4 linked regions of the Lepisosteus oculatus genome follow. The protein of the gene in region 1 interacts with the protein of each later gene in a pairwise test. Links are inferred from orthologs where the notes say so. Each region holds a gene or a part of one and is shown on either strand. Other genes may lie near its edges. The genes, in order: endophilin-B1, ric8a, tpd52l2b and sypa.

What was found.
Region 2: the proteins of endophilin-B1 (region 1) and ric8a interact in binary tests that used the Homo sapiens proteins (3 or more experiments, as listed by UniProt). The link is inferred for Lepisosteus oculatus from reciprocal best matches to the Homo sapiens genes SH3GLB1 and RIC8A.
Region 3: the proteins of endophilin-B1 (region 1) and tpd52l2b interact in binary tests that used the Homo sapiens proteins (3 or more experiments, as listed by UniProt). The two-hybrid records come from large-scale screens. The link is inferred for Lepisosteus oculatus from reciprocal best matches to the Homo sapiens genes SH3GLB1 and TPD52L2.
Region 4: the proteins of endophilin-B1 (region 1) and sypa interact in binary tests that used the Homo sapiens proteins (3 or more experiments, as listed by UniProt). The link is inferred for Lepisosteus oculatus from reciprocal best matches to the Homo sapiens genes SH3GLB1 and SYP.

Annotation. Positions count from the first base shown.
Region 1 is NC_090704.1:637,877-644,895, forward strand, and holds the start of endophilin-B1, read left to right. Parts: upstream 1-4,008; 5' UTR 4,009-4,296; coding exon 4,297-4,359; intron 4,360-5,380; coding exon 5,381-5,522; intron 5,523-7,019. Other genes in the region: calcium-activated chloride channel regulator 4-like, read left to right, coding at 1,319-1,821. UniProt on the Homo sapiens protein: May be required for normal outer mitochondrial membrane dynamics. Required for coatomer-mediated retrograde transport in certain cells. May recruit other proteins to membranes with high curvature. May promote membrane fusion.
Region 2 is NC_090716.1:11,899,899-11,906,884, reverse strand, and holds the start of ric8a (synembryn-A), read left to right. Parts: upstream 1-3,975; 5' UTR 3,976-4,137; coding exon 4,138-4,227; intron 4,228-6,986. Other genes in the region: bet1l (BET1-like protein), read right to left, coding at 43-99, 494-585, 1,263-1,281.
Region 3 is NC_090711.1:5,491,044-5,498,061, reverse strand, and holds the start of tpd52l2b (tpd52 like 2b), read left to right. Parts: upstream 1-4,017; 5' UTR 4,018-4,219; coding exon 4,220-4,238; intron 4,239-5,889; coding exon 5,890-6,038; intron 6,039-6,464; coding exon 6,465-6,613; intron 6,614-7,018.
Region 4 is NC_090697.1:75,189,822-75,196,887, forward strand, and holds the start of sypa (synaptophysin a), read left to right. Parts: upstream 1-4,066; 5' UTR 4,067-4,157; coding exon 4,158-4,175; intron 4,176-5,585; coding exon 5,586-5,651; intron 5,652-7,066.

The sequences.
Region 1 (7,019 bases):
CTAAGCAATGTCCTGCTCTTTTCAAATCTAAAAACAAATCTGAATGGCTTGAGCCATCCTTGAATGGTGCCATTGCTGCCATGCATGGTCAAGCATGCAGTTGTGTCCATCTCTCCATTCTCACATGGAGGTTGAGCTGTTCCGGCCATCAGCAGCCCACGCAGTTGAGGGCGATGGCTCTTCATGTGCGTCCTGTGTGCGATTCCAGAGATGGCTGATGAAATCACCCTGGATCAGGCAGAGCCTGCTGCAGTTTGGGCAGCTTGTTCCCTCCTTGTTCCTGAGTAGGCCAGGCCGTCCTGGGGAGTTGATTTGATCAGGACAAGCAGCTTCCCATGTTGCCACCTTGTCTTGCTGAATGGTTTCAGAGTGAAAGATCCTTGTATCTGTATCGCCATCAGGCTGGAGTCAACATTGCACTTCCTCGAGTCCTTTCTGCCCTTCTCCTGATCTTGTGCCTCCACCGCGGCAGGAGTAGTATATAGTTTTCACTGGGTGTGTTAGTATATTATAGGTTTAGGGCTTGTGTGCATATCCTCATATGGGAGTAATTAGTGCTATTCTATAGTACAAATAAGGTGTTAGTTGTGGCTGGAAAGTGATCAGGGTGTTAGTGGAGATTTAAGTTGATCTAAGAACCTCTATTATCTTAAAAAGTTTTGTTTTCTAGCTTTGTGTTAAACACTGTACAAATAAAACAAGAAGAACCCATGGAATGCTCTGCGAGTCTTGTGTCCACCACTGGTGAAAGTACATCGGTCACATTCACCCAAAGTGCTCTGGCACAGGATGTTGGCATTAGGGAGTCTGGAACAGCTCAGCCATGTTGTGCAAACTGGTACCCTGGCATGTTTCAAGAAACTGCTGGATAAAGTCCTCCGATCAATAAGCAATCAAATGAGCTAGATGTATCAAATCTTCTTGTTTGCAAAATGGAGGACTAGGATTCAACATCACTGCTTTAGTTTATACAATTCAACATAGACTCCACACTCCTTGCAAAATTCTTGTACCTCAAGTCCATACTGACAGATAAAACTGGAAGTGTCATTTTTTTTATAACTTCACTCCCACTTATGCATGTCTTAGTTTAGCGTTACCTATGACATGGTTAAATTGAGTGCAGACATACTTCGTTTACAAATAATGACAGGCTTCCTCCTTCTGTGCTGTTTGTAATGCAATGGAATGTGCTTGATAAGATTCCCGTCCATCAGAAGGAAGTGGCATTGCAGTGATTTACATCTCTTTTCAACAGACACGGTTTCTCTGCATGAAGATTGTAGCTGATATTATAAATGTGGTTTTTATCTTGCAGCTGCAGAATATAAAATAAAGATGGGTGAAAATGTTTTTGACCTAAGAGACAGATTTGAGAGTGCCTTTCAGGTGAATCCAACCCATGTCACTCCCTCACCGGCGGGCACCAGAGAAGAGCTGGAACAGCCGATCGAAGGTATGGATCAAATGAACGGCACCATCGTTTATTTTGCCATCTGTGCTGTGGATGAAAATGGACTGATGTCTGAAATGTCCAACATAGCTCAGGTAGCAATAATAGAGCCGCTGGTCCCTGCTGGACCAGAGCTTAAGGTTCTCCTGTCTCAAGACAACGGCGAGGACAGCGATTCCGACAGCGACAGCAACGAGGGTGGACTGGGCAGTGTGTCGGTCGTGGGCATAGCGGTGACCACTACTATCCTCAGTGTGTGTCTGGTTTTAGGCCTGATCAGGCTGTTCATGCACAAGAGAGAGCAGGGCGACTACACACTGAGAGACGGGCCGGAGGTAGAGAGAGTACCAATGGCCAGTAATGTGTAAAGGAGCAGACTCCAAGCTCTCTGAGAGCACTTTTATGTTGGGTACTGAAAAAACACTGGTACTTTTGATAGCCAGTGAGGGAAAAGGGTATTGGTTTGTTTATTGGGCAGAGCTTTCCAAATCTACTATTGCTTAGGATAAATGTTAAAGGAATACAGAATAAACAATGGAAGCAGGGAAAGTCATTGTCAATGTATTATTCTGCTTATGGAGAAGTTTTCAGTATAGGATCTGTTCTATATTAACTTCTTGCTCGTGGCAATTCTTTATTTAAAAATCCTGAATTCATAAGACCATACTGGTGAAACTAATTAAATCAGATCTCTGCCTGTGGCTCCTATATATCTCATGCAGCGAATTATTTTTAAAGGGCCTGTTGCTATAAGAGTGGGTCATGTGTACAATAATTGTGTAGAAGAGCTGACACTACTGATTTTTTCTGTTAAAATGAATCTGTTCACACATACTGTTAAAATGTGCAGTGCATATCACTTACAATAAACAGACATACACTTCACACCATCATCTAGTGATGGGGAAAAATCTACACAGAAAACAGTAACTTCATCTAAAAAAAATATTATTTCACTACTTTTACAAAGATCACGGCAAACTGTTTTTTAATGGGAGAGAGGAGTTCAGGTGAAGCTTGCTTTGAACACCATGGGTTAATATCTTTTAAGGCAGCGGGACACACATAGTTCTATAACATGCACTTGGGTTTTGTTGGGAGTAATAATGCACTCATTGTATTGTAATGTATCTCAATAAAGAATTATTTGTTTTTTTAATATACATCTGTTAAATCTTTGAAAATGTGTTATTTATTTTTGAAGGAGTACTTGAAATAGTAGTTTTAGATGTATTTTAAAAGATTCAGATATACGATATAAAAACAAAAACCATGGAGTTTTCACAAGGAAAATCAGTTACATACTGTAAAATAACATTACCAGCTTTTAATCTGTCCCTCTATTATTTAGTTGATGAAAAATGTGCAAACGGCTCCATCTACTGACCTGACTTATTTATCCCACTCATTTGTTGAGCAAGGAGCTAGCAGCATCAGTCTGCAGGCTGCACAGGGAACAGCAGAGGCTAATTCCACCTTGTTTAAAAAGTACAAGCGAGTTCTTGTTTGCTTCAGTACAGCTGCTGAAGCAGCTGTTAAAACTCCTTAAACAGCCATGAGTAATTTAGCAGGTTTGCTGTCATACTTATTGTTGCTAGATGAATAATGTATTGAAGGAGAGTAAGAGTTGTATTTAAAACCCTGTAATAACCCATATAAACAGCGGAACAAGTAATAGGTTTATTCCATGCTGAAAAAAAGAAGAAAGAAAACAACGTTTCGGCCGTGGAGCCTTCTTCAGGTGTAAGCACCTCAATCTGAGATTCAGGTTTAAGTGATGCAAAGGACCTCCATCTTTTCCATGTGCACAAAGCTAGGGTCCCGATAGACATTGTGTGGTATTTCCTGATGCTGATGAGCTGGTGCACAGATCTGTAACATCTATAATCGGTCGCGACTACACAAAAGCCAAGGTAAAGCATTAGTCTACTGATATAACCTACTGAATGGTCACTCTTGAGCTTGCCAGCATGGACTCCAGCTAATCCACAACCCACGGCCAGAAAACTGGGCAGGAAACGGATGGGTGAATGGTATGTACTGACCATAAGAACAGGTAAAGGTTTTTTCCCTGCTGAAAAGAAGAGATTTTTTCAGCTCCGTGGCTGAAATGTTGTGTCCCTTCTCTTTTCAGCAGGGAATAAACCTTTACCTGTTCCTTTGGAGCCCACGCATGGTGATACAGCTCCTTACTTGAACTAACCATAGTTTACAGGCCAAGAAAAACTTGCCCATCATTAGGACAGGCATTATCTATTTTTTTTAAATAACCAAAACAACATTTAACTTAAGCAGTCTTTGAAATCGATCAAATCAAATCAAAACCTTTTCTTTATTAAGCTGATATGAATGTCAGGAATTTCACAATGCTTAGAAAACTAATCCAAAATGTTTCTAGGCTACCCTGTGGAGTTCTGCATCCGTTCTTGAGTTTGATTCGCAAATGTATCGATCAATTGATTGAAATAAGATAATAAACCTGGACGTTTTCAGGAAATGTGCATCCTACACACTTCCTCTAGTTAATAACAAGCGAACAAGGGTGCTTGAAATCGGTGCCTTCGTGGCACAGGATGAGGACAAAGCCATTTCTGCTGTCGCTGTAGTATTAATTCCCTCACTCGTGGAAACACTTCAGAGTCCGTCAGTCAGACAGAAAGACGGTTCCTCCTCTTCCTTTGCGTCCAGGGAGCAAAGTACAGTATCGGAGGCCAGACGCTCCTTGTACTGTGAGAGGGAAGGTCTGATCTCAGCAGGCGGACTGAAGGAGAGGAGTGTCTCTACCCATTTCACCGCCGTTTCCACTCGGCTGAATGGAGATGGTCTAAAGCGCCGTCAGCATCATGGACTTCAACGTAAAAAGACTGGCGGCAGACGCCGGCACTTTTCTGAGCCGAGCGGTGCAGGTAAAGCGCACATGTGTCACGGCTGGAACGTGGCAGCTGAAATTAATAGAGAAGTTTCTTGATGTACTGTCTCTGTTTCCGGACCCTGTGCCGCGCCTCTGTCCCCGGTGTGGCGCCGCGGGAAAGCCCGGTGCTCCGCCGGGCCTGCTGGGACCCTCGGAGCGCAGTCACAGGGCCTTTGGGCGTTGGTTTAACGGGTTTATTTTAACAATTGGTTATGTTTTATATATTTTTTTTAGCGGTCGAGGTTTGAAAACTTGTCATGTGACCAATTTTTGAGTCGGAAAAAATCCTCTTTCTAAATCTTGAGTTCGGGATCGAAAGCCGATGAAGTCGGCTGTGCTGAGAGACAGCGGCTAGAAAACACCCCGGCTGTCCCCGGGGTCAGAGGAGTCAGGCGCCCCTGATTTTTCACTGTTTACTGCAAATATGTTAATGACGGGGAAAGGAAACTGAATATAGCATTGCGAAACTAAAACCCATAAATTCACACCACTGCCTCTGTCCTCTTCATTTACTGTACACAATGTGCACTGTAACGGTGTAACACATTGCTTACCTACTGTAGGTTCGGTTCTCATGTATACAGTGTTAGTACAGTGACATTTAGAGGTTTATTTTCAGTGGGCTTCGAAAACTGTTGCGCTAGTTTTGAGGTTAGCTGTAAAGGAGGGGTTTTTCAACTACTGCAAGTGAGACAGATGTGTGGAAAAAAAGGATGTGATTTAAGTTATCTGAGAAAAATATATATTAACATAGCAGACAAACATGAACATATTGTTATAAACTTTATTAACATAAAGTAACTTCCACAAAATTTCATTGCAGGGTTGTTTTAAAGGATGGGTAATCCAGAATATGTAGGGGGAAACTGGTTAGAAACCAAAGATTTCTAACCAGTAGTTTATATGTATTGGAGTTTTGAACGCTTTGTTCAGTTTCTGCATTCAAAGGGAAAGTGTATGTCTGTGAGCCGGTAACAGCAGTGATGATGTGATTTTTCCTGCAATTCCCGGTGTAGTTTACGGAGGAGAAGCTGGGCCAGGCCGAGAAGACGGAATTGGATGCTCATCTGGAGAATCTTCTGACCCGAGCAGAATGCACAAAACACTGGACAGAGAAGATCATGAAACAGACTGAGGTTCTGCTGCAGCCAAACCCTAGTAAGATGTTTTGCTTTGTATTAAGTCAACTTAATCAGCAAAACTTTTAGAGCTCCCTTCCAAACCTTCAGGACTGTGGCTCTCCATTCACGGGAAGGATGGTCATCACTCCAGACTGGCTCCCAAATCAGGGGTTGCAAGAAGGGTTTAAGAAGCCCGTGCAACATGGCAGCTCTGACCGCTGATGCAGTTTGGAGGCTAGTCACGGTATTATTCAGACACCCTGCGGTAACACACTGCCTACATAGAGCTTTCTGGACAGAATATTGAGTTTGAACAATTCACTGCAAAACCAATGGAGAAAATCCCTGACTCTCTCATGATCTCAGGGAAATGCGTAGCCTGAAAGATACAACTTTAAAAGAGGTTATAGTTGTCCTCCCCCGCCAAAGCAGCCGTTCATCCTTCTCAGCCCAGTTGTGCTCTCCCCTGTCAGGACAGAGAGCCCAGAATACCAGAGGCAGGTGACAGAGCAATTTCAGTTCTCCTGCCACACGGCTGAGCTAACTTTGCCATAAGTGTAACACCTAGGCTTTAAGACACTAAGTACACTTGCTTCTAAATCAGGGGTTGCACAGATGAAGACCACTATATTTCTTGTCCATGTCTTCACCCCTCTGTTTACACAGAGTGTGACGCTACAGCGTTACATCAGAACGTTAGGAAGAACACGGGCGACGAAGGCAAGGCAATCAGAAATCAGCCAGCACTGATGTTGCCACACTGAACAAAATGCAGAAATAGTCCAGTACGCAGTTGCACACAATGCCCTTTCATATCGATCAAATGCATTTCAAGGTCTGTCGAGACAAAATTATGAGAAAACGAATGACTCAGGATAAGGTTGGTGTTGAGGTTCATTTAAAGACTTTGAAAAGACCAGTTTGGTAAATAATTGATTAGTCTAAGTCACTGGTCGTGTGCTTTGCAGGGGTTAATAATGAAGGGTGAAAAAAGACGTGTTTTACTGCTGGGGTGACCTTTTTGTAGTCAATACTAATACGGGACACATGACACTCACACAGTATGTCTTTAAATCGTCTTGCCCTTTGTATTCTGAATAACCTGCTACTTCTTGACTCAGATTATGAGTTATTGACCTAGAACAGTTGTAAAAATAACGTTAGATTTCATCAGATGCTATTTTCGATTGTAATTCGCCCATCCTGTTTTTGTCTGTGTGCTACAGTCTTAGCACTAGACATGATAATATTTTTTCTTCAGTGACATCATTGCTCTTCCGTGGGCTTCACTGGGATGTGGCTGGAGAATGGTGTTCCTGGGGGAGGTGGGAATATGAATTCTCGGGAGCAGTTTGAGCTGTGTGTCTGAGTCACACCGGCTTGGGAGCACTCAGTTACAGTATCTCTAGTGGGTCTGTGTGTTAGAGCCTCAGAGTGTGTCACTTGTTGCATGCTGCATTAAACTGTTTCATCTTCAAGCAGATAATAAGATTATTCACAGGAAACACCCATGACTGGAAAAGAAACTAATGGA
Region 2 (6,986 bases), on another chromosome or scaffold:
TCAAATTCATATCTTATCTTAGGCCCTGCAAATTGCTCTTACCATGCCATCAAGATAGGAATTTTGGTCCTCAGCTTCTTTATCTATTTCAAAGGCCAGCTGTTAAATAAAAGCATAGAAACACTTATTAAGGAGTGCGCAACAGCAGTATCTCAGAGTCCTGTAGTAAATCTTTTGTTTCTGTATGATACGACTGGTAAACTGCATTCTTAGTTCTGATAGTAAAAATGTTGTGAAACAAAGTGAAGCCCAGGTTTGTACAAACACATGAGCAGTGTATTGGAATTCAATACTATTAGAGAATAGTAGGCTTGTCTCTGTATCGGTCTTCTGTAACGGGCCGTTTACAATCTACTTTTGCAAATTAAAACAATGAGATCATAAATCTATTACCAAGTTACTGATAAATGTTTTGGAAAATAAAAAAACGCTTTAAAATCATTTTAAAAACACACATATGCCACAAGGTGTAGTAAGAGGTTTAAATACATACTGATTTTAGTCTGGAGACTTTAGTGGCCAGATTGTCTGCCAAGAGCTTATTCTCAACATCCAGCATCTCATCCACAGCACCAGAGCCATGTCCTTACCACGAGGAAAAACAGCAAGAGAGAAGAGCATCACAAAGTAAGTGAGCACCCGTTTCAAAGCCTGTCTCAAGGCAGCACGAACACAGTTCACAGTGATAATATAAGCATGTTTGAAGACGATCAGACACACTAGAAACAAATTATATAACGCGGAAAAGGAAAACCATTTGAATTAATTATGACCAAGTGTGGGTGCCAGACGAAGCCTTAAAGAAAGCAGAGCTCTGCCCACCCTTGATTACTCCGGTTGATGCCACAATTTAATGATCAGAAACCTGTTTGATACAAACTACTCTGTGTGATCAGCGTTCCTTGAGTAATTTTAAGTAGATTAAACGAAGTAAAAAACCGTCTGAATAATGTTTAGGACGCTTACAGCATGCACATCATCAGCTTAAATGCTGTCTTTATTTTTATGACTCTACTTCGATTCAGCGATGTCTCGTTTGTAACAACTATTATACTCGTTACATTGATCAATTATTAGCTTGATGAAGCATCATAATTATATTTATTTCACTTGTTCTAGTCCAATTTACAACACCTAGTATCCACAACTTTATATACGTTTAACACACTTGTCAAGAGAAACTTTCAGACTATACAACCACACAAAAACACTATTAAACCAATAAAATATTATTTAGAATTGACTACGTGTCCACTTCCTACCTCTATTCCAGTCAGCCATCTTTGTTGACTTCCTTCTTCTGGGAAGAGGGTTAAAGGTAAAGTAACGGATACGTCACATCCTGTTACATTAATAGGGTAATGTTTGAAAGTAAAAATGTTATTAATGTCTCGTCCATATATAATGCTGATTTTATTAGAGTTGCCCTTTGGAATAAATAGATTGGAACATACATTGGCCTTGTCTTTCAATAAAAAAATAAGTGCACTATAAAATAATCCTAAAATATACGCAACTAATCCGATTGTTTCGTTTCTAAATTAAAAAAAATACATCATATTTGTTATTTTCGCCAATCAGGAAGAAAGAAATATCTTTTTGCAAATTACTGTGACAACAAAACAGAGTAAAATTATAAAATCAATTATAATTTAAATTCATTTTGAAATTAAGCAGAACTGCCTAATTTACAATAATTTTGATATATTTGTAACTATTAATAGTTAGAACAAACGCCAGAAGACACATCATCCTGCAGCTCACAGCTCACAGCTGGCAGCCCACTAAAGCTCAGCAGGGTTAATCCTGGTCAGTACTGGGATGGGAGACCTCCTGGGAAGCTATGGCTGCTGCTGGAAGTGGTGTTAGTGGGACCAGTGGGGGGTGCCCACCCTGTGGTCTGTGTGGGTCCTAATACTGTAGTGGGTGCTGTCCTTCGGATGAGACATTAAACCAAGGTCCTGACTCTCAGCGCTCATTAAAGATCCCTGGGCATTTCTCGATAAGAGTAGGGAGTTATTTTAAAAAGATATAATAACCAAATATAATAAAAGTTTTTTTTCAGTGTTACAACAGCATAAGAACAGATACAGATTTAAATATCAGAAGCTTTTAGGAAATGAAACAGAAAGGAGTGATATATTTCTTATTTTAGAGGGGTGGTCATCAGGATAGAAATCAACAACATTCCTCAGGCTGAGCAAAGGCCAAGATCTGTATTGAATACAATTAGCATAGAAGAGGTGGTGGAGTCGCAGGGATTAGAAGCCCCTAAAATTAACAGATAGGCCAGCCAGGGCCTAATGACATCCTACTAATTGGTTTTAAGGAAAGGAAAGATGTAACTATTAACCCTGTAGTGCCAGATTAATTATGTCATCCCTTAGTATCATCCCTTGAGTATACATCCCTTATTTATATCTCTTTTTTATCCTTATGACCAATTTTCATTTCAAGGCTAGAATCTGAGACTCAATCTTTTATGAGGACCATTATTAAAAACCTTTCTGAAAATCTAAATATATCATGTCATATGTCACATCCATAGCTGCTGTTATTTGTTCAAACTGTTCTAACAAGTCAAGCAAGACAGGCTTAACTAACTGCATGGTGACACCCTGGTTAGCATCGTTGTCTTGGACTGCTGGAGCGCTGTGCTCAGTTTTGGACCTGTGAATTAAATACAGATCATTTATGATACATACTTACTGTAGGTGTGTACATCATTTATATGTGGGGAAGGCAGAGAGTGAGTTAGAAATTATGATTAAATGTCTAGAATGTAAATAAAGTGATGTTTGGGCAAAACAGTAAAACACTTTAGTTTTTGTTTTTGTAGAATATTGTGAACATTTTTTTTTTTATCAGCACGTTATAAGAACATCATTACTGCTCTTGAATCATTCCAGAGAATGGTGTCCAGATAAATTCCCATACATCTGTGAGTGTCATATACTGATAGGCAAAATATTTTTAGTCTTGAGCAGGGAATACTACAAGGGGAATGCAAAATCCTTAAAGGCAATCCAATTGACTTCATCAGATTCAACATTGAAACATGAACCAGAGAACATAAATTAAATTTAAATAAGCAGAATCCTACACATTGTATAAACCCACAAGTTTAATGCTACCAGTAAAGGATCACACTTTCCGCATATACTTTCCATTTTCTACACTGTATTGACCAAAAAGAAGGAAAGAAGGACACATAACAACTGAGAAAATATACAGACCTCTGGGTTAGTCCAATTGTTAATTTTGTTAAGGAGAGGAGTAAAATATGACCTGTTAAGTATCATATGTTTAGTACCACGTACTGATTGGAAAATCAGTTTTTTTTAAATAAAAAAAGTATTTTAAAAAGTCTCTACAAGTCCTTTGATTCAACACTTAACTATCATACACATAGAAAATCTTTAGGAATTTTTCCCACCTGAGAATTGATATTGAAATATTTTTGTACAAGTCGTAAGAAGGTTAAGTGACTGGCAACTTTGTCTTTAGTATAGTTTTAGCTTAGTATCGTGATTAGTTTCACTCTTTGTTTTGTTGCAATAGAAGTGTTATTCCTTATTCCAAGGGGGATAATTAAATGAGTCGTGTTGTTGAATTCAAATGTAAAAGCTCATCAAATGTTTGTTAATAAGGCTTGTGAATCGCAGGCTCACTTTTCCAAGCACTTTTCTTTTATATAAGACGATTTGTGGACGGTATGTTCACCAGTTAATTGTAAGAATAACACCAGGGAGAAAGAGAAGAGATACACAAGAAAAAGAGCAAAAAAGAGTGCGGTTTTGCAAACCCTAAATGTACCCTTTTTTTAAAACAATGTGAATATGTCTATCTTAACACCTCGCGTTGTATCAATACATCCCCAGCATATTGTAGCAGTATTACACCTAGAGACTTGCACCTGATCGTGTAGAAACAAAAACGTAAAACTACATTTCCCAGAAATCCTTACGCACGCTTACAATCCTGCGTTAATCTTGTTCCAGGACTTTCGAGTTTCAGGGATAAGAGCTGGTAGAGTAAGGTAACGCAGTGAGACACATCAGAATATTACCCAAAGCAAGGCGTGTATGTGGTTGTCAGTTTGACTTGAACAACAATAACTGCGTCTGTAATACAGCAATGAAAATGGAATTCAATGCCATCATAGAAACGATGCAAACAGGAGACCAAGATGCCGCATTGAAGGCACTGCAGGCTTACAATAAGGAGGTATAATTTAGTATTTTTCATTTTTATACGTATTTGGTTAACATCTTGTATATTTATATATACGATTCGTATCCGTTAACCGTGTTTCCATGTGTGGGCTTCGAAATGCAGGGTATACAGTATCTGTGATTTGTTAGTGTGTTTAGCCGACTACCTTCTATTTTTACAGAAATGCATGTTTTCTGTCATTACCATCCTGACATGATGTGAACATCCTAAGTGTAACATATTTAATAGCTTCGATGTGATCTGGATTAGGGAGCCCTGGTTGTCAGCTTGAATGCATTTAATTTTATTGAATCAAACTGCCATTCACAATGGTACAGTTTGCATTTTTAAATTTTAAATGAAAATAATTAGCCATAACAACAGTGTCGCCCTAAAACGCAGGCGTATATTCTTGGTAGTAACTTTTACATTTATTTCTCAGCATTATTTAACGATGATAATTTTACATAATGGTACATCCACTCGCTGGAATACAGTTTGCCCAGGCTATTTTGTCATTGATACCAATGCTTTTGGATAGTGCAATGCAGGCAGAAATGTAACATTATTTTTTATATCAATAATCACCATCACAGCCTTGAAGAACAAAACGTATATGTAATACTTAAAATTATCTAGATCTTTGTTGGTTTTGAGATACAGGAAGACTGGGGCAATGGTCTTGGGCTGAGAGTGCAAGATACAGCTCTGTGTTAATAGTAGGTGTGTAAAGCACCTTCACCATAGTTGCCATTCTGATAGTGTAGCAAACTATTGATTTATTCTGTGCAGCTGTTATTTCAAGTGTAGTAGTAAATATCTTAATTGAAGTCATTATTATTTTAATATGTAGCTCTGGAACCCAAGCTTCACTCCAAGTTCCTTCTAGCAAGCTGAATAATACATCAGCAGGCAACTTTTTACTATTATTTTTACTTAATGTTTTTTGTGAACTGTTTTTACTTATCAGAGTAGGTACTCCATACAATTGCTTTGATGCAAGTACTGTATATAACGGTCTCTGAAGTTGTGAAATCTGGTGTGGAAATGAAGATACTTTGTGTGTATTTTTTGTTTCTCTACATTTTACATGGTATGACTTACAGATCATTTAATGCAACTAGTTATCACTGTTATAATGAGGGTGTAAGAGCCTCTTATACTTTTAGTGCCTAAATCTGATAAACGTTTTAAAGAATATTAACAGCCTTAGAGTACATCAATACCATCAGATACTTTTAATCAGCAAGGAGCTTGAAATCCATAGTTAAGATTGGGGTTGGGCTTTGTCCTTGTCTTTTTCCATCTCTTGTCAAAGCATTTAAAATGCCCAATGTCGGCATTTGTTTATGAATGTATCTACTGAAAAAGGTTCGACCATTCAACTTTGAAAATGATCAAACACAGCGTGAAAACAGGTCAACTATCAATATGATAAAATCTGATTTTGTTTTTTTCCCCACCTTGTAATCTGTATTTTTGTACATGCAAAAATAGTGCATGCTTATATCTATATTAGCATATGTGATATTCCTTTAAACCCCTGATATCACTAATGGTTCTTTCTTTTCATGTACTTTTCATTTAAATCACACTTAAAGATACTTCTGCAACAGAACATTGAGGTAATTCCTCAATACGCTGCCTTTCTTTGACGTGAATGTCAAGGAACTCCTTTCATCCTGCCCAGGAAGTCTCTGGTCTGTTCTGCGGTGCGTGTTGTGAAAATTGGATTAGATCATTGAGCCATGTGCAGCTCAGCTCATCTGAACTGTCCTGTTATAGACCAGTAAGTCACCTGGTGCCTCACAGAAGTCACGTTGACTACATACCCCTGAACAGTATCTCTGTTGCTCTTCTTCTGGAAGGAACGCTCAGCAGAATGTGATGCTGCTGTACTGTAGCTTTTTGCCCCTAGCACATCTCAAACAGCAACAGACAGAACAAGCTGTTCTTTCAGACTAACACCAGCAGTATCCTAAAGCCATATCCTAATTGGGTTAGAAATGTCATTTCCTGTTGCATGTTGATATACCCTAATTAGCTGTACATAGTGTGGGACTACATACAGTAAAAGAGCAAGCATTTACTTTTGTTGACATTATGTGAAAAGTTGTTAAGTTTACATGAACGGAAGACAAAAACTCATCCCCAGAATACTTCCGGCTTCCACTCAACTTTCCTGTTCTACACGATGGGTGTCATGTAGGTTATCTTCCTTGAAAGGTTAGAATAAGGCCTTCCAGGAGGTAAAACTGAGATACCCCCAGACCAAAAGAAAGAATAACATTTTTAAGCGAGTCTCCACGATACAAAACTGAAAAAAAAGTTTTTGGTTTTAGACAATTTGAAGAAGAACAATGCAAAGATAGAAAGTTGTGGATTGTAACAGGCCATATGTAGAAAGTGATACCCCCATTTAAACATGATCCCAAATGTAGTCATGATCCCTAACTAATCATTATAACAAAGTAAGAGTTGCAAAAATAATGATTATTTTTCTTTCCTGAGACAAAGCATTAATTTGTAAAACATTCTGCATAATTAACAAAAAAACCTTTTTGTCAGTTATGAGTGATTGCTCCTAATAATGCATGAAGGCAAAAAACAAACAAGCTGTTTTTTTTCCCAGCAGGACATATTTCTCCCATTAGTGGTGTTTGTACACAAAGTTGTTAATCAATATCTATCTTTATTCATGGCACCTTTATGTATGTGCCAACAAAAGTGGTTATTTTTTTCTTCTTGGTGTCTCTCATAAATGATGACAT
Region 3 (7,018 bases), on another chromosome or scaffold:
CTGTGGGTGCTTTCCCGGCAAGAAGAAAGTGGGTCAAATAATTTGAACCATTATTCTCTCCGGGCTGAAATGGAGTCACGCAGATGAATCAGTTCCACAATACGAAAGGGGGGACATCCTCTAGGGTAACTGAAGAAGCACGGATTCTGACATATCTATGGGGGTAAGAAAAAAAAGAACTTGCACCTTCTAAGGCTCAGCTTTATGAGGCTTTTCATTAGTTTTAACCAATTATGTCTATTTTATAAAACCTGGCTGTCATGCTGAATTTTTTTGTCACTTTTCAGGAACAGAACGCGCTCTATTATAAGGTTAAGAACAAATGGGGACAACATCATGTTTTAAAATGTTCAGAAACAACGTAGCATGCTAAAGGAATGCTACCGAGTAGTGATTACAAGACTTCCATTCAAGATCTTACAGTAAGATTAATAATTTAAAAATACCACTGACACAGCTGCTAGTCCTACTTTTTTTCTATTGGCAATGTTGCTTTTACTTCTACAAATATCAACAGTACAGTGGTACAGTTGATTACCCTGCATAGATTTCTAATAAAATATGTTTGTCACATTTAGACGTGCAAACAGCGTTTGCTTTCTGGTTCTCAAACCTGGAAGAGGTTTTACAGTTATTTCAGTGCAGGATGTAATAGAGGATGGGTAGAGTCCTGATTTCCTGTATTGTACAGGTAGATAAAGGAAATGTTTTCTTTCTCCCAAAATATAATGCTGCTTCATTAAGTAATCCCATTCGCAGGCCACATTCTTCACTGTCAGGGGTTTTCTGCAACACAGAAAGTGCCTTAAAAGACATTTTGAAACTGTTGTGATCATGGGGAAGGAGAAGTAGTGGTTAAACTGTCCCCCAGCATAGATTTTTCTCCCACTCTGACAGATGGCTACCTTGCCCCTGTTACCCTCACTTGAAACCAATGTCCAGTTAAAATCTGGCTTTGGAGAAATGAAGCCTTGTCTCTCCTTACACACCAGACCACACACACAGACGCAGACATGTGTCATGATCAATAAATAATAAATACCCATGTCTTTGGAAAATTGTTTGATATCTTTCAGAAATATAGAGCTACCAAAAAAAAAGATCTTCTGGTCAAATATATTAAATGGCATTATTGTCTTCTAGGCTAAAATAAGAGGGCATATAATAGGAATGAAGAAACCCGTGAAGGTCAAAAAAATATATAGAACAGGTGGAGAAATAATTTAACCACCATGAACAGCCTATCTGTGTTAACGCCACCGAATAAAAAAATTGATGTCATAGTTTCACGCTGACTATTAGCTCAGCTTGTGGCTCTCTGTGAAAAAAGGGGATCTAGATGACTAAAATTCACGGTTTCTAGTGAAAAAGACAGAGTGGGGGAAGGGGGGTTGGTGAATTCTACAGGATGCTTCCTCCCAGCTTTACCGTATGTTCTGCTGTGGCATTTTCACTTCCAATGGCAAAACCCAGTCAGAATTATATTCCTCCTTCTCTGGCCATTATAAATGACCATGTATAGAACTGACATGCATGAAGAAAAGTCTGTCAGCGCATAAACTGTCTTCTATTAAAAGACAATGTATGGAAAAAGTTGAGCAAAAAAGTAAAATTGCTGACCTGTTGGTGATGATAAAAAGATGAACTGTTATGATAAAACAGAAACATCAAACAGGCAGTGTCAGGGATCTGTTTAGAAGGACAGTGAAAGCCAGGATCTGATGGGCTCTGTGCTTCATACCGAGATATAGTGTTGTATGTGGAGGCTATCTCGTACAGATAAAATACTGTGTAATAGCAATAAGCATGTTGCAATTTGAATGAATGAATTTCAGATGAAAACTTGCTCTAGTCCCTTATATAGTGTTTTGGATCACAGTTGTTCTAAGGGATGCAAATATCCTTTTAGGGTGATATATAGCAGAGTTCCGGTGTATTTTGCAATATTGTTTGATTCAAACAGTGCCACTCAGATCAGAAATAAAGTTCTGGTGACTCATTTCTCGACAACTTCATGTGGGTTATATGGGTGTAAGACCAAGGGCTGGTGGGGGCATGCAGGGTGTGGTTGCAGACTGTGTGCTTAAGGGGAAATTCAAGACTTCTCAGACAGGATCTGTAGCTTTCAAAAGGGAATTAACTCTTCCCTGCATAACAGACAGAAGCACATTTAACATGTAAATCTGGTTTAAACATCTTGAAAGTCATTTGAAAAGAGGATTCCTACGGCAGTACAAAACAAAGCATGGTAATTTGAACAATAACAATAAGCAGCTACCGTTATAATAAAACCGTCTGAACATATGGAAAACTGTCCTCATATTTCTGATTGTTCTGATTGTAGGCTGCCTTTTATCTTCTTTAATAAATCTACTTAAAATGCATGCAAAATTAACTTAGAAAAAACAATAAAACAAAAACTGTACAATTTGCACCATGTCTGTGAATACTGGCAATCACTCTAAATATTACTTTACTGTTTTTAAGATTAATTTTAATATTTGCATCCTACTAATGTATTATTTCGGGTGCAATTGTTTTCAGCAGTCACACATTCGTTATTTTGGTTTGTATTGTTCTGGTAATTGCACTTTTCTCCTTTCCTGTAATTGCAAGATTAACTGAAAAATAATCTAGACCCCGAATTACACTGGAACTTTCAAGTTTTTCTTTTCAGTTCTTTGAAGGTATCTAGTATTAAATAAGGTTGCTACTCCCTCTAGTGTATAGAATTGTACAGCTTTACAGACCGGAAATCCAGGACAGAACAGTAGTTTACACCATCTGCAGTACTTTTCTTCAACACATTTTGGATCATATACATTTTGTATATAGAATATATGCTGGTATTTTATATTCTTGGTTTAAAAGTATTATTACTGAATTTAGAGCCAGCACGGTCGCAGTGAGAGCTGTTGCTTCACAGAATTTGGGTGCTGGGTTCAGTTTTGGACTTGGATACGTTCTGTGCGATTCCATGTTCTTCCCTTGTTTGTGTCGGTTTTAATCCTCTGGTTTCCTCCCACCTCCCGAACACTGCTGACTAGGTTAGCTGGAATCTCTAAATTGGCCCAGTGTGTGTGCATGCCACGTGACAAGTGCCCTGACCAGGGTGTGGTCGTACTTTTAGCCCTGTGCTCCCACTTTACCTTGACAAATATCAGGACTAATCTTCTGAGAATGGATGTGTTACTGAATCGATATATTTTATATATTCTGGATTATACATTATCATAATTTATTGTTCATACGTGTTATACCCTCTACAGACTATATAAACCACACTTTAAAGGTTAGTTTCAAGAATAAGGTATTGGGTTGGATCCCCACTAGACCTACTCCACATTTATCAGATCACTGACCTTGTAATATCAAAAGGTTATTATTGAAACTCAGTCTTTGAAGCGTTTGAAGATATTTTAAATGTTAAGGGAGCGCGACAAGCAAATAAACATGAGAACTAGTACACAGCAAATTCAGCGGTATTTTCAAAGCCGAATAGACAAAAACGTCAATGAACCGTCACCTATCGTGGAATTTAGGAAATCTTCGCAAAAAAAAAATGTAGACGCAGGTATGGCTTTAGCTGACCAATTTATCCATACGGCGTTTGCAGTCACGAAGACTTAAAACACTATCGCTGATTGATAAAGCTTCAGGCTACAAATGTTTTGTTTGTTCTTTTTATTTCAATAATTACTTACATCCTAGCGACTGAGCACTTAATTAGGTCATGATATTTTCAGCGTTTTATATTTTTTTCGTATATTTTAATATTGACCGTGCTTAACATCTAATCCTAATTGTAGTAGCAATCTGCATCTGCGGGTGGACATGTCCTGCTTTTCGTTGAGCACCTACAATTGCGAAACGCTCGATGAGTTAACAACGCATTAACTCCTACACGTCTCTATTAGTCTCATCGTTATAATTAGAAAACATTTTAGTGCAACATGTTGCCTTTAGGTATGCAACCAACCAGAATATTCAGAATTGCGTCAGGAGACGTCATTATGAAGCGCCGGAAGCGAGTGAGCCAGGGCTCGCCGAGCTGAGCTGGAGTACCTTCAGTGTCCGTCTCAGTGGATTTGTTGTTGTGAAAGCCGATGCAACAAGGAGAGGTTTTGTGTTTCAGGAAATCTGGGTAGAAAACACAGACCTACAGTCCTGAACACGTTAAACACCCGAAGATTGTTGACTGTTTGGAAAAACTGACACGATGGACTCTGCAAACCAAGGTACAGTTTTTGGTGGCATTTAGATTCTAATCTGAGAAAGTACGCAAGTACCTTACAAATGGAGCAGGGAGGGCCTGACGGCTGCGCTTTCCAAATAAAACGGACGGGGAAGAGAGCCAAGGAGGTGTAGTATTACAATGTGTCCAGGATAAACTATTCCTTTGTTTCAAGTGTGAAGACTTTTTCTCGCTACATCATGGACACGTCGTCATAATATTCTTCCCTTTCGTTCCGATCGTGAGTAAACAATAGGTTGTTTGTTTTGCAGGATACTCTCAAGGGATTTGTCGTAGTCGTGTTTTTTTAGAAGTGTCAACGATCCCAAATGTCTCATTTTAAAAATGTCACAGTTTTAAAAAAACGGACACGCATCTTATCCATTTTTAAATATTCTCCAAAGCGAGGATTTTGTCGCATTTTGTAACTTTTTAAGTTTCGCTTCCGCCGTTACACGTTATTGCTTAAAGAGCATTTCTTCCAAGTGTTAGTGTCGTTGACCATTGGAAGTAATTTTTTATTTAAAATAGTCACAGGTGCATAGCATGACTTCTGAGTTCTGAAGTCGAAGGCGATTCGAGAAGGATAGTATTCTAAAATATCTCGAAAGCTTGTGTCATTGCCGAGGGTGCATGTTTGTAAAAAATTAATGTCATCTTTGCGACAGAGCGCTAACGGATGACCGTTTAATTAATTTCATTTTTGTGATGAGAGTGTGAGGTATCGTACTGGGAACAATTTAAAATTAAGATGGTGACTTGAACATATTTTTTCTTTGACTTCGCTCTCTCTTTTTTAGCTAATGGTCAAATTTTAATGGATGGTTAAGAATAGCATTGAAGCTGAAATGGAAAGAGGTGGAATTTATTCAGAAATGTCCCAAATGTCTCCAATAGTTCCGTAATTAATTTAGAACAACAATGCTTATCAGATGTTGAAGACTTGTGCTTAATTTGAACTTCCTTCTTAAAAGCTCTATTTCAAGGGAATAACACTTTAAAATCAGTTGAAGGGGAAGTTGCTGAAAATGAGAAAATGACTGTGGTTAGTAATAGAACAATTGAATTTCACCATACTGTAAAATGATAGTATTGCTGTTGAGCTTAGAAGCATATATTGGATTTTGTTGTTTGTGACATATCTACATCCCACAATAACATCCGAAACATTTATAAAAATGATATTGAAAATTATAATTATTGGTGTTTTATTTATGCAAATGCATTTTGTTATCACAGGCACCAGTCTAGCACTTTGTATATTAGTAAATTATATCTTACTCATGCACTCACTGTTTACTTCCTGTTACTGAACATTGCAATGTCATCTCACGTATAGCCTAAGCATGCTCTCGTTGCATTCACGTAGGCCTCAATCAAGACATTTGGACAGTGATCTAATGCCTGCAAAAATGCCATGTTGTTCCATTTTATGATTTTGTTGCACAAAGGTGCTTATTGATTTGTTTACATGAACTTTTGCTGGAGATATGTCTGCTCTGTGTGTCAGTCCGAACTGCTGCACTGTTTTACTATTGATAACCACATGCAAACATTCAATAAATCTTTTCAAAAACAAGTCTATGTAGCTTCTTTATGTCAATGATATGCAAGATGTCTAAACCACTATCTTTATGTATGTGCTGGGCATGCAGATATCAATCTCAACTCTCCCAACAAAGGTCTGGGGTCAGACACCATGACAGATGTGCCCGTAGAAGGAGCTGCAGGTAACCCCAGTACCACATTGCCTCCAGGCTTGAGTGAAGAGGAGACAGAAGAATTAAAGACTGAACTGAACAAGGCAATCTTGATTTTTTTCCTCTATTTTTATTAGTCCTTTGTGTCTGAAAAGTCATACTGAAAGAAGAAAACTTTTGCACAGACTCATTAGGACAAAGTAACAAGGACAAATTGCCATGTACTTGATCTATTTTTCTTTTCTCTGACCTATTCTGGAGTATTAATATTATCTCATCTGCATTACCTTGCCTGTGACAGATGCTTAGAATGATATAGTTTATTCCACTACTGTGTATTGAATAGTTTATACCACTGACTTTTTGTCACTACTAGCAAATCTGTGGTAATTAAGTTTCAGAATTTGAACTTGGGTCATAAATTATGAGGGTATTTTAGCTGACGTTTAAAAACTGATTGTACGCTTTTCTTTCCTGTTTGTGCCCTTCATTGAAATCTGTGGTATGTAAGTATCTGCTGTGCTTTCTAGGTGGAAGAGGAGATACACACTCTGCGCCAGGTGCTTTCTGCCAAAGAGAAACATGCTTATGAGCTCAAAAGAAAACTGGGACTCACTCCATTGAATGAGCTGAAACAAAACTTAACCAAAGGCTGGCAAGATGTTCAGACCTCTACAGCGTACGTACTGTCATTGTATACATTAATGCAAAAATTCCATTCCTTGCAGGTTAATCTTGCTTGCTGAAAGGTCTTTTGTATTGTATGGTGTTGAAGTGACGATCGTCCTAATAGCTGTTAGGATCTTGAAAAGGCTGCTTGAGTCATGCTAGAATTGTCTTAGAGGCGTCCTAGCAACTCCAAAGCAATTCAGTGTGTGTCCACAAGTGGCTGGAAAATCATGTCATTGTGGTAAGTAGTTAATTGCTTTTTCTACGTACAATATAATTTGTCTTGCCTCATTAAAAACACTTGCATAGGGAAATCTATGGAGAGAAGACAACACTTATGAAGTGGTTTTCCTGACATTGTGGATTCCTGGAATGAAGAACTTAACAGCTGTCTTCCTTAGCTTAGAGCAAGGCA
Region 4 (7,066 bases), on another chromosome or scaffold:
TTGCAATGGCCAGGGAGAGGAACAAGTCCAGGTTTATTCCAGGCTGAAAAGAGAAGAAAAGAAACAACTTCTCAGCTGTGGAGCTGTTTTCAGGCTCCACAGGCGAAATGTTGTTTCTTCTTGTCTCTTTTCCGCCTGGAATAAACCTGGACTTGTTCCTTTGCAGCCCACGCCTGCTGACACGGCTCCCTACTTGAACAGGATCCCACTTTGCCAGTTCGCACAATCCTGGGGCTTTTCCGGCCTGGGTCACTGCGCGATACCCACCGGTGAACAGCCGATAACGGATTAATAGAATCGAGCAGGACCCTCTCTTTCTTCATGAAAGGTTAAAACAAACGTGTTTGGGGTGCGGATGGCACTGCCCTTTTACAGACAGTGAGATGAGGAGTGTTGAGCAGTACACAGTCTTCATTTGGGACGTGCCCAGGGAACTTCGGGTGCGGCTGAGCGCTCTTCCGAGCTGTGCCTCTTCCGGGCAGCAGTGGGCGCTGTAGAGCCGAGTCCGGGAGCTCAGGCCCCTCCCACTGCCTCCTGACAGGAAGCTCCATGACATGTGTCTGCAGGGGCTCGGATTCCTTTGGCTTACTCCAGCCCGTTGGTGTCTGTTCCTTGGGTTGGCGCCTGTGTCTTTTCTGACTTGTATTCTCTGACTCTCGGGAAGAGAGGGAGGTTGATCCTGCAGAGAGCTGTTTAATTGCAATAAAGGTATCGAGGTGCTCTCTATCCAATGGGTAGAGTTGCTGGGTTTTTTTTGGGAGGCGGAGCTGGGGACACCTGCTCCTGGATCGGGAACGCTGTTGTTTCTGATCCGATGCCCTTGTCTGTGTCAGTGGGAGGTACGGAGGGCTGCAGCTCTGTGAGTGGGGTCTGAATGGCACCAGCTTGACGGCCAAGAGGATTGGAGCTGTGCCACTCGTCCTGTGGGCGTGGGACACGTGACCCCAACGTGGGCTGACCGCAGCACCCCCTCGCTGTTCCCCCAGTTTACCCCCAGGGCCGATTTCTGCTCCATCCCTCTTCCTCTTCCTCTTCCGTGTGCGGACCTTTCGATATTTTCTCAGAGAGAGGAGAAACGGGCGCAGGGGAGGGGAGGCCCGATGGACAAGAAGACAAGGTGGCTATAACGAACAACTCTCTCGTTGACAACTGCCGCCTGTCCTTTCAGACGTGGGCAGGTGATGGAGGGCAACAGCTCGTCTCCCACAGCATTATGGGAAGTGTGGTTCAGGCAAGGAACTCCATCTTGTCCTGCTCCTTCTTCCCTCCAGCCAATTCCACCCCTCACTGTAGCGGTTCCCTATCCTGCTCCTGGTGCCCCAGAGATCATCGGATTCATCATTCAGACGAACGGAGCTTTAACCATAGTATTTTGCGAGTGGAATAAAATCCCCAACTTTTTGTGACTAGAAAACAAAAAAAAAATATTCAATTGAAGCAACTTCTTACATGAATTAAGGCTTCGATTGTCTAATTAAAGGGGGTCTGGAGTGAAAACCAGCAGGTGTGGGGGTCACCGGGAACAGGCTTGGGGGACCCCTGCCTACAGGTGTTGCCGGCGAAGGTCAGGGTGGCCTGGAGCCTCTCTCGGCGTCACTGGGAGCAGGGCGAGCTAAACCCTTCATGGGATACCCATCCATGACATGATGTTAGGATCTTGTCTCCAGAACACAGGAAAACAAGCGAAATGTTTTCCAGAGGCAATCCGATTTTGTTTCCAGCCGCTGGCAGGTGTGATTAATCTTGGATTACCTGCTTATGCAACGCGCAGGGCCATAACCCTGAATTCTCCTTTAAACCGACAGCCGGAATATCGCCAGCGCGTGATTTTTCGGATAAGGGCTCGTCCTGTCTGGGAGAGGAGAACCGGGATGTGTCTGGCCAGTCGCGTCCCTGAGCCCCTTTCCCCACAGAGCTCCTGACCAGCCCTTCCCTTCGGACCAACCTGCATGGCAGATCCCAGAAATCATAAAGCCGTGGACGCCGGAGGGCTAGCCAGAGCCCAGGGCTCGGTGGCCAGATGTGAGCGGTCTTGACCAGACAGGAAGTGTCCCCCGGTGTTACGCCCGGGTCGGGCCACACGGGAGTACAGCTCTGTCTGACCCGGTCACTCGATCCTCGGACAGCGCCTGGCTCGCCCAGGCCAGAAGGCCTGGTGCAGCCCATCCCTCCACCGTCTAGGTATCAGAGGAGGGTGAGGTCACTGCGGTAGCTCGCTCAACACCCTGAGCCCCGTTTACGCGAGGGTGCTCCACGCATGGTTTTCTATTTGCACCCGCAGAGCTCCGTGACCCGACCCGTCTTACCGCAGACGGCTCTTGCGCCCTGCGTATCGCAGGTCTGCAGCGCTCCTCTGTGTGAAACGGGGCTCGGCGCGCGGAGTGAGGTCGCTGGAGGGGAACCGCCCCGCCCTGCGGTCTAGACGCCGTAGATGTCACGAGCAGTTCTTTCCGGGCCCTATGCGGACGACACGATCCAGAATAGTGAAGACACGAGGGGAAAAACGGTCATGCAGGTAAAGGGTCTGGAGACGGGGGGCGTGTCCATGCAGTGCAGGTGTCCAGGGGAAGTGAATCCAGGGGAACAATCCATGTAGGAAATCCAAACGGGAAATCAGAAACAAGGGCTGAAGGCCATAACCAGGCGATCCATCCGGTTGGGGGGGAACAGGAACCGGGTCGGAACCGGCGAGGGAAACAGGAACTAGGAACTTGGAAGATAAAAGCATAACGGTGCCAGACGCAGCACGACCCCGAGCTCTCACGGAAATACGGAAATCAATGAGGAACCAGGAGTAAGGTCCGCGTCTGGCTTTTAAGGAGGAACGGGATTAGAGACCAGGTGCAGACAATGGGGCGGGACAAGGAAGGGCTGGAGCGCCCTTAAGAGGAGGGGTTAGTGATCGTGACAGCAGAGCCCTGCTGGGGCGGAGGAGCCGGTCTGTGCGCGGGGTGGGGTGACCCGCTGCCCCGGCAGCGAGGCCATGCCGGTCGAACCCCAGCGGAGGCAGGGGGGGCTGCTCTCATCGCCCGAATCACATGAAATAGCTCGAGCGAGAAAGTCTCGGGGTGAGAGAGCCCCGTTTTTCCTGCACCCGAGCACAGACATTCTTCTGCTGGGCGAAGCTGGGAGGGAGGGAGATCCATCCATCTGTTTTCTGACTGCTCCGTTCGGGATCGGGGTCGCGACGGAGCCAGGACCTATCCCAGCAGGCACCGGACACACACACACATGCGCGTGCGCCCACCAGGGCCAATTACCCAGAAGCCAACGAACCCACCAGCATGTCTGTGGACTGTGGGAGGGAACCAGAGCCCCCAAGGGAAACCCATGTGAACACGGGGGAGAACATGCAGACTCCCCACAGACAGCACCCCAGGGCCGGAACTGGACCCGGGGCCCCAGCGCGGTGAGGCAGCAATGCTGACCGCTGGCGGGCAGGAGGGAGGGCCCGGCCTAACCTCCCGCGAAAGGGGGTGTCACGATGGAGACTGCCATTACCGTGAAGATGATGCCTGGCAGTTTTCGGCTCTGGGCGAGATCGGTAAAGGAGAAGACGAGGAACAGATTCCGGCGATCTGCGAGTACTTATTACAGCGTTAATTAGACTCAAACGAGCCATGTGGTAGCGGGGGGGTGGGGTTGCAGGGGCTGTGTCACCAATGTGTGCTGCAGACCCAGAGCAGATGGACTGAGGTCCTGACGCCCCCCCTCCCCTGATTCTCCTCCATTATCATTGCAAACAACTCTTAACTGACTAATTCCCTCTAATCTGATCTTTACTCAAAATAATATCCCTGGGACACGCTGGAGCTTGTTTCCAGACCTGCCTTTGTCACAAAGACAAAATGTCTCTCCCAAAAAACAAAAACAGCAGCATTACCGACTGATTGCCGAACCTTGGCACGCAGTGCACGGGATCGAACAATTTGTCTGGCGATGGCATTTTGTAAGAGCCCTCCACCCCCCCCACCGTTGCCAGTACCTAAAATGGCGCACAGTTGGGGATTAAGGCTTCACCGGGCTGTGCCGTGCCCACACTAGGAGCTTGTGACGCCAATAGGAGCTGTTCTACGCTCTGTCCCTCCCTCCCCCTGCTGCCTCTCACTCCCTCCCTCCACTCTGCTGATCTCCTTATCTCCGAGAAAGCCGCAAAGATGGATATTGTGAACCAGGTAACGGCTCTCCAGAACCGATAGATGATGATGCATTTTAAAATGTTGTTTTTTTTTCTCTGTTTTAATTCTTCTTCCTTCTCCTCGCCGCTGCGGTGATCCTTTATTTTTTTCGGAGCGGCGGTCCGGGGAGAAAAAGGAGAGGCTCGATTTCGGGAGCGCCTGGGCGGTCGGGGGACGGGCGCTGCGGGCTGCGCTGCCTTGTTTGTGCGGCGCAGCTGAGATGCGGCTCCTCTGACGGAGCAGCCGGTCCCGCAGCGTCCAGGGCGGAGAGAAGACAAGATGAAAACAGCCGCGACAGCGTTTAGCGCAATAGGCAAATCCCGGTCCAGCGAGGGCTGCGGCTCCCCCAGTCGCGGGGAGCCCGGGGTGCGTGTGATTGTGCGCGGCTGCTGCTCCTGGTGTCTTGCCCGGTGATGTAGCCCGGGTGCGCGCCGGTACCCCGGGGCTGTACCCCGGGGGGCGGATAGACGGGTCCCGGGGCACAGACAGACGCCACTCGGTTTATTCATTCCTGCTCGCTGGGACGCCCAGTCATCTCACGGTTTGCTCTGCGCTGCGCGTCCGTTTTCTCCTGGCCGGTCTGTTTTCTTTTTTTTTTTCATCTGTTTTCACCGCGGCTGTGAAGGGGAGGGAGACCTCCGCCGGGGGGGGGGGGGTGAGGAGAGAATACCCCCCCATCCCTCCTCCATTACCCCACCCCACCTCCCCAGAGGAGGAACACGCTCCCCGCGATGGGGCAGGTGGCAGGTGTGGGGACAAACACGACCCGCCCCGTCGTCGCCACCCGCGGCGCCCGTCCCGTCGCGCATTCCCCCAGCGCGAGCCGGCTGCGTCGACGTCCCGCCAGCCCCGAGCGCCTCCTCGAGCCTGGAGCCGCGCGCGGCTGCGGGGCGGTGAAACAGCCGGGCCCGGCGGGGCAATTAAAGACTGACCCTCCCCCCCCACCACCACCATCACCACCACCATCACCTCACAGCCCCACGCCTGCCGGAGCTCCAGGTGCAGTGGGGTGAAGGAGCTGGGGGGGGGCATGTCGGTCCTCTCGGCGAAGAGGAAGCCGCCGGCGCTCGCGGAGGTGCCGCCCCCACGCGCAGCCGAGGCCCGCTGCGGGGAGGCTCGCGCAGGAGACGGGGATGGAGACGGTGATGAAGACAGGGATGAAGACGGTGATGAAGACGGTGATGGAGACGGTGACGGAGACAGCACCGCTTTTCCTCCGCGGCCCGCCGGTCCCGAGCCTGTCGGCTCTGCGGGAGCAGGGGCCCGGCACCGTTCCAGGACAAGATCCCCCGCATATTCCCCTTCTTCCTCTCATTAGTATTGTTATTCACCTCCAGCGCGGCCCTGGACGTTTTTCGCGCGCGGCACTGATCACCGCGCTGTACTTACTGGTTTGTTTCCTTGCAGCTCGTTGCCAGTGGGCAGTTCAAGATTGCCAAAGAGCCCCTGGGGTTTATCAAGATACTGGAATGGGTGAGTAGCTCTTGACTTACTCTCATATCCTGAACTCCTGAGAAGAACGGATGAATATTCGTGGACAGGGGATACGAAGATGTTAGTATGTACCGCACATGTGCCCCCTTAATATTATCAGCAGTTTTATTGCTGCTGAAACCGGGTGAGCACGCGGGGGGGTTGTGTCCTTTCGTTCACATCTGGAGGTCACAGCGCGTGACGGCGACGCGGCCCGCGTTCGCGCGCGCGAGCCGTGGCAGCTGGAGGCGCTCGCTCCAGCTGTGCGGGAGCACCGCGCGCCCGCCGCTGTGGACACGGGCGAGAGCCCGCGCTGCTGCTGCGCGGATGTGCTTTTAATTATCTTTATTTTCGTTGGGGAAAAAAAAAAAAAGAATTTGAAATCAACCATTATTCAAAATATGATTACAGAATGAACGAAAAGTGAGATACAAAAATACCGATCTTGTTTATTATAGTGGCTATTTTGAACCTGCTGCAAGCAGCTCAGAGCAGGATTTAGGATGTTCCCAGAACCGAGGTTCCGCTCCTCGCCGCCTCCCTGCTCCTGTTTCTACACTGGGGGGCTCCCCAGGACTAAGGAAAGGAGGGTTTTCGCAGAAGAAAGAAAATATGACGCTCTTTATTTCTGGGTCTTGCGGCAGAGGAAACGCACCTCTGCGCTCCGCGAAAGCGATCCTCTTGTTCACGTTTAGCCAACAAACCTCCGATATTTTACCGCCGCCTGGCCTGAGAACAGCATCCCTCTCGTGAGCGGCTCGCCCGCAGGCCCTCCCCCCACTCCTGACGCTGAGAGGTCCCGATTCCTCGGCTCAGCCCCCTGCGGTAACGGAGAGAGAGCCATTCCGTTCTGGCTCCGCTCCACGTATTGTCAGTGTCCGCGGCCCGCCAGTGACGTCATGGCCGAGCGGAAGTGGGGCCAGGGGGCGGGGCGATATCAGCGTTACACACCAGATAGATTTATCAAGCGCTGTGTTGTACATTCTCCCTCTGTGGTGCCAAGGTCTACTCATTGCGCTAAATCAGCTTTCTGCAGCTTCGCAGACTCAATGAACAGAGACGCAGAAGGCATGTGAACTCTACTAATTGAGCAGCTGATTAAGGGTAGTTATTTTAATCCCGGCTCGAAGGAAAACCTGGAGCTGCCTTCAGTCTGGACACCTCTGTGTTCAATTAAGCCCCTTTATTTTTTTCAGTCTACATGTTTTCACCATTGCACCTGTTTCCAGCTCAGAATAGCCTCCCAGCACAACATCCGGACGTGAAGCATGCTGGGGTTCCACTACAATAACGCGTAGCTCGTTCGTTCGGTCATTAACGCTTCCTGCAGTTATGGAGCAGAATTACTTTAGATCATGGACCACATGGCCTCTTCTCCTTCGGAAGGTTTCCTAAATGAAAAACAGGCCCCAGAG